2 linked regions of the Oryctolagus cuniculus genome follow. The protein of the gene in region 2 purifies or fractionates together with the protein of the main gene of each other region. This does not show direct contact. Links are inferred from orthologs where the notes say so. Each region holds a gene or a part of one and is shown on either strand. Other genes may lie near its edges.

Evidence for each region.
Region 1: the proteins of SCLT1 (region 2) and KIZ purify together in Homo sapiens (co-immunoprecipitation; 3 studies listed by BioGRID and IntAct, counting the BioPlex papers as one, with this or other methods). This does not show direct contact. The link is inferred for Oryctolagus cuniculus from reciprocal best matches to the Homo sapiens genes SCLT1 and KIZ.

What each region holds. Positions count from the first base shown.
Region 1 is NC_091442.1:45,686,140-45,689,639, reverse strand, and holds part of KIZ (centrosomal protein kizuna), read right to left. Parts: intron 2,043-3,500; coding exon 1,980-2,042; intron 465-1,979; coding exon 302-464; intron 1-301. UniProt on the Homo sapiens protein: Centrosomal protein required for establishing a robust mitotic centrosome architecture that can endure the forces that converge on the centrosomes during spindle formation. Required for stabilizing the expanded pericentriolar material around the centriole.
Region 2 is NC_091439.1:35,687,914-35,691,413, forward strand, and holds part of SCLT1 (sodium channel and clathrin linker 1), read left to right. Parts: intron 1-2,230; coding exon 2,231-2,366; intron 2,367-3,500. UniProt on the Homo sapiens protein: Adapter protein that links SCN10A to clathrin. Regulates SCN10A channel activity, possibly by promoting channel internalization.

The DNA of each region.
Region 1 (3,500 bases), on a different chromosome or scaffold from region 2:
ATTAGTTGGGAGTTGGATCAGAAGTGAAGCAGCTGGGACATGAACCAGTGCCCACATGAAATGCCAGTATCACAGTCGTCAGATTCACCTGCTATGCCATGACCCCAGCTGCAATAAATAAATCTTTTTTAAAAAATACAGTTTCAAGTTCTTTGATCAAACTGGCCACATGGTAATTCACAGAAAGTTGTTTTTAATATTTATTAATATTAGTAGCTGTCACTGATTGGAAACTTACTATTCATGATGAATTTAGCAAAAAAAATTTTTCAAAAACCACATACGCAAAATAAACTGTCACCTTCAGGTCTTGGAGCTTCTTTGTGTTTGTGGTAAACTGTCCAACATGAGCTTGCACACGTTCACACTGCTTTAGATACTCTTTGTTTCGAGTCTGAGCCCTCCGCTCAGCTTCGCATATTTCCTTGAGGTATTTCTTTAGTTTCACATACTTCAGCTTCTCCCTGGGGAAATAAAAGCGGATTTTTAAACAATGGAGTTAAAGTCTGACAAAGCTAAGGAAAAGAATTTCTTTCACAAAGCTGTTAGAGACTCAATGTTTCCTAAGATATTCTACTCAAAGCATTGAAAGCTAACGGATAGAATGTATAGACCTTTTTAGAGAAAATTAACGCCCAATCACTGTGGTGTCATAGTGGTCACATCTAGGCATAACTCTCCTGAGAAGCGTAGACAAGACCATATTAGAATGTTCACACAGTAAAGATGTACATGGATTTATTTCTCTAAATTAACTGTGATATCAAGAGCAGAGTTAGGACTGGCACTGTGGCATGGCAGGTAAAGCTGCTGCCTGCAACACCAGCATCCCAAATGGGTGCCAGTTTGTGTCCTGGCTGCTCCACTTCCGACCAGCTCCCTGTTAATGAATCTAGGAAGATGGCCCAGGTGCTTGGGTCCCTGCACCCACATGGAACACCTGGAAGAAGCTCTTGGCTCCTGGTTTTGGGCTGCTCAGCCCTGTCTGTTGCAACCATCTAGGGACTGAACCACCAGATGGGAGATCTCTTTTCCTCTCCCTCTATCTCTCCTTCTCTCCCTGTAGTTCTGACTTTCAAATAAATAAATATGAATCTTTAAAAAAAGTTAAAAATCTACTCTTAATATTAAATAAACTAGAAATATACATGTATATTATGCACTGTTTATAACAGTTTTAATAATCATTCTCATATACTCATAAACAAATGAGACAAGTAATCTTGCCTACATCAGTTTACTAAAACATCAATGAGAGTAATTATAACTTAATCACTGCACAAGGTTAATGTGTTTAAATTGTGACCAAAAGGACAAAACTATAATTTATATATCTTTTTTTAAAAAAGATTTATTTATTTATTTGAGAGCTAGAGTTATAGACAGGAAGGAAGAGACAGAGAGAGAGGTCTTCCATCTGCTGGTTCACTCTCCAAATGGCCACAACAGCCAGGGCTGGGTTGACCTGAAGCCAGGAGCCAGGAGCTTCTTCTGGGTCTCCCATGTGGATGCAGGGGCCCAAGAACTTGGGCCATCTTCCACTGCCTTCCCAGGCCCAGCTGAGAGCTGGATTGGAAGGGGAGCAGCCAGGACTAAAACCAATGCCCAATGCCCGTATGTGATGCTGGTGCCATAGGCATACGCATAGTCCACTACACCACAGCACTGCCCCTCCCTTCTCTTTCACTCTTTCTCTCTATATATAAATGTATATATATGTATCTTATTTTAAGATATTTAAGCAAAGTATCTGGAATATTACCTGTGAAATAACAAATACTAAATAATGAAAATATTTATCCCATACTAATTTTAACTAAATTCATTATTAATTTGACAATTATATTAAATTACAGGGTTTACTTTAAATTATTACACATTGGAAGTAAGAGAATTATAAAAGAACTCCAACCACACTATTAGGGCTTAAATATGTGACTGATATATATACAAAAACTGTCACCATCGTCATATCTTACCTGCAGCTATCAGACTGATTATATTCATATAGTTTCTTTTCCAGGTCCAATCTCTTCTTCTCACTACCATACAGAAAGAAAACACTTTGTAACTGATTATGTAACTATAAGCAGTCAGATTTAGACCATGACCTCTTTCAAAATCATATCTTTGGGCTTTGTGAAAAATGCCTCTCCAGTCTCTCTAGGAAGCTAAAAAACACCAGATGCATTGGAAACAATGCCATGGAAATACTCACCAGTCATCAAGGAAGTCTAAAAATCAAAACAGACTCTAATATGAAGCAACAGTACGAGATGATCCAAGTCAATAAGGAGACACAGTAGGAGAAGGCTGGGAAGTAGGTTTGTTCCTTCGGCAAATCTTTCTTAAGCACCTAAGATGAGCAAGAGGCTGCTCTCAACCTGGAGATCACCGTGGTGAGCAAGCCTCTGCCTTCGGGGGAAGCACAGGCAGTAACCAAGCTTGTGCAGACAACATGGCCCGATCTCCCAGAGTCAGTGGCATCTGGGGCCCCAACATGCCTGGACATGGAGCTTCCCAGGTGTTCTCAGTCAGACAAGCGGATGTTAGCAAAGGCTCTTTGACAGGCAATGTTGGCCTTACGTACATGTAATGAAGCTGGGTCTATGTCTACTAACTCTATCACTTCGAATGTTGGGGAAATTCTTTTTATAACTTTGTAAAGTTGTCATTATTTATTACCGACTCTGTTTCCCAGAAGCCGTCACCGATAAACATCTGTGATGACGAGGTGATGCTGGCAGAGGAGAAAGCCTGTCTTATCCCATCCACCCCAGCCTCGACAAGCAGCAAGGAAAACTGCAGCAGAGGGGCCAGCAGCAGCCAACATCAAGTGGCAGGTGAAACCGCCCCACGGGAGATCCCTGGCAGGTTCAATCACAGAGCGCTCCACTAGGACGCTTCAGTCCCACCTAAGGGACGCCAAAGTGTGACTCTAACACCAGTGAATGGTCCAAAGAGAAATCACACAGTATCTGGGAGAAGGACTGAAACAGGGATGAGGACTCCAGCAGAAGGGGCTCTCGGGCACGCCTCCTGAGGAAAAGCCGCCAGCCACACTGTCTCTGCATGAGCTCTGAATTACTCATTTGCTTCCTTTCATATTTTTTTCTATAAAAAAAAATCCCAAAAGTTACTCTGATAGCTACATTATAGGTTAAATAAATGTCTTTCGCTAACATAATCTTAAATGGAAACATCATTTAACCAAAATTCTTTCAATGGGAAAATACAGTTCAAAATCTAAACACAGAATCTTTGCTTTACAATTCTTTCCTCAGTTGAGGTCTGAACATATTAAAAAGGATAAAAGAGGAACAGCATTGTGGAGCAGCAGGTTAAGCTGCTGCCCGGAATGCCAGCCTCCCATGGGAGCGTGGGATCAAATCCCGCTGCTCCACTTCCAATCCAGCTCCCTGCTAATGCACTTGGGAAAGCAGCAGAGGCTGGTCCAAGTATGTGGACCCTTGTCACCCACGTGAGAGACATGGATTGAG
Region 2 (3,500 bases):
TAAAGAACTTTAAAAATTACCTTTCAAGCTGAAACTGTACAAAGTGATTTTAATAATTCATGGGCGGAAATTATGATTGCTCTATAACCAAAACACTAAAAGCTAATTTATTGTTGGTTTTAAGTTTCTTGTAAATATATATAACATTTAATTTTCAGTACATTGTACTAAATAAATGTTAATCTTATGAATTTTTTCATTTCATTTTACTATTTAAAACTATAAGACTTGATAGATTATGATGTAGGTAATTATATAATGGAAGTGATAAAATATTATGTCACTCTTAAAATATCAGAGTACATGTTTCAATAACAGTTAAAAAGCAGATTCATATTAGCAATATGACATCTATTTTTAATGCAAAATATAAATTTTGCTAGAAAATACATCACAACACTAATAATGCTTTTCTCTGAGGCTTGGTATGTCTTTTCCAAAACTCTTGTTGTATGTCTGTATTGGTCATTTTTTCTCTATTAAGTAAATAATCGGAAAAATAAGTTAAATACTTAAAAATAAAACTCTTTGTATTCTTAATGCTTCTAAGTATTTTTTAAAATTAGGGAATAATTAGCGAACTCTGACCTTTAGAGAGTAATTAAAATTTGTATTTCTAAATGAATCATCTACTTTAAAATATTTGATGAATATTATATATATATATTTTTTTTATTTTTGACAGGCAGAGTGGACAGTGAGAGAGAGACAGAGAGAAAGGTCTTCCTTTGCCGTTGGTTCACCCTCCAATGGCCGCCGCGGCCGGCGCGCTGCGGCCGGCGCACTGCGCTGATCCGATGGCAGGAGCCAGGAGCCAGGTGCTTTTCCTGGTCTCCCATGGGGTGCAGGGCCCAAGCACCTGGGCCATCCTCCACTGCACTCCCTGGCCACAGCAGAGGGCTGACTTGGAAGAGGGACAACCAGGACAGAATCCGGCGCCCCGACCGGGACTAGAACCCAGTGTGCCGGCGCCGCTAGGCGGAGGATTAGCCTAGTGAGCCGCGGCGCCGGCCTGATGAATATTATATTTGATAAATATGTTCTAAAAATTAAGATGGAATTTTTTCTAGTTTCAAAGGTATTTCTCTAAGGATTTTAGCATGATGGATATTGTTTCTCTTGGATTTTCACCTTGAGTTGTGTTTATTATAAGTAATATTTTCTGCTTATGATAATATAAACAAATGTTTTCAAGTTTTTCCTGTAGTAGAAGGCTTTTTTTCCCTCTTAGATATGTGTCATTTTTAAGTTAAAACTTTTTCAGACTTTTAAATTGTACCTTTGTGTGTGAGTAAATTTTTTTAATAATAAAAAATTAGATATTTTTGATTTATTTTAATGTTAAAATTAACGACTTTAGGAATTGTGTTCAAGCTTATGCAAATAAATGCTGAAAAATAAACTTTCTAATAGTCTTGGTTTCATAACCAGTGATCATTTTGTTTGACTCTGTATATTAACTGGAACTATTAAAAAGTCAAGTGAATTTAACAAAAAGAAGTCAAATGAGTTTTTTGAAACACAGTGAAGAAAATAAATTACAAGATTTAATATACCATTTTCACTTAATTGAGTGCAACTATCATATTTAAAATTTTTTCTGAATGTCCTGTTTTTCAGTTAATTAACATAACATTTAAATTTTATCTGTGAAAATTTAAAATTTCTCTAAGGCAAATTATATTATTCTTTTTTTAAAAAAATTATTCTATTTGAAAATCAGTTACAGTAGGAGAGGGAGAGACACAGAGAGATCTTCCATCTACAGTCTCACTCTCAAAATAGCCACAACCACCAAGACTGAGCCCAGCAAAAGCCAGGATCTTTCTCTCGGTGCCCCAGAGAAGTGCAGGAGCCCAGGTACTTGGATCATCTTCAGCTGCTTTCTCAGGCATGTTACCAGGGAACCAGACTGGAAGTGGAGCAGCTGTAATTGGAACCCAGTGCCCATGTGGATGCCTGCATCTTTACCAGCTGCACTACAGCACCAGCCCCATTATATTTTCTCGAGATAATTCTGTCAACTTAATTCAATTAAGTTTGTTAAATAATTTTTTATTCATATAGTACTGTATTTAATGGTGATTAAATGTGTGTAAGATTTGAATTTACTTAAAAATGATTTTGTGTAAAGAATCACTTTTTACCCAAATATTTATTTAATTGGCCCAAACAGTAATTACTGTTACTGAAAGGAATTTTGATTGCTATTATATTGTTTATCCCAAAGGTTGCACAGTGAATTAAAGGATGCCATTGAAAAGCAATTGGAGGCCCTTCCCTTTGCTGCAGAGATAGGAAATGACATATATAAAGATGAGGAAACAGTCAAGAACCTTCAAGAACAATTGCAACTAGCCAATCAAGTGAGTGATATATGTATTTTTAAAATACATACTGTATTAGCAGAGCTTTTAAAAATCTGTTAGTCTTTATGTATGATAACAATAACAAAATTGTTAACACTTAGATTTTCTTGTATTTCAAGAATTGTAACATAACAAAACCTATATTGAATACCCTCACTGTTTATTATAAATGTATTTGTGAAATATACATTTTAAGTCAATCATAAAGCTTTTAATGTGATTTTTTCTTATAAGAATAGTTTACTGTCAAAGGAAAATTTTAAAGAAAAAATTATCAATTAACCCATGTCCATAAATTCATATTTTTAATTTTTCTTTGTTTGCTTCTAGTGCTGTTTTCTTCAGTTTTCAAAAGTTATACTATTATGTTTTTCTGAGTTGTATGCTTTTTTCTAGAATTAGTCTTTTTTTTTCCCCTCTTAGTATTTGAAATCTTTGGGAAGCTGTGTTATGTATAACACAGTTTTCAACACTACAATTTTCTGTGATTTGATAAATAAGGTGATTTGATTTTATTGAACTTTTTTTATATCTTTATATACAGAATAGCTCATTATCTGGCATGGGTTTGAATCCACATTTTACTTTCTAGGTGTTTCTAGAAAAATCTCTATATGCCTTAGTTTTCTCATTTGTAAATGAAGATTAGAATTATTATTAAAGGATATATGAAAAGTTACAGTTTTATTTCTTACAAATTTGGTTTTAGAATTCTTTACTTATGAAAGTGATATTTTAGGTGAATTATAAGGACTATATTTAGCTTGATAAGCAACATGTATTAAACACTAAATTTAAAAAGAACACATGTAAATGGAAGGAGTTTAACAATGTAAATGAGAGGGTGGACGTTTGGCCTAGCAGTTAAGATAGCAGGTAAGACACCCTCCTCCCATATCGGAGTACCTGAATTCAGTTCCCACCTCCAGTTCCTGTTCCAGCATTTTGCTGATTCAGATCCTGGAAAGCGGATGTGATGGTTCAAGTAGTTGTATCCCTACCATTCATGTGAGACTTGGATTGAATTCTCAGTTCCCAGTTTCTGTTCTACCTCAGCCCTGGATATTGCAGGATTTGAGGAGTAGCCAATAGTTGGGAACCTTACTCTCTCAATTTCTCTCTCTCTCTCTG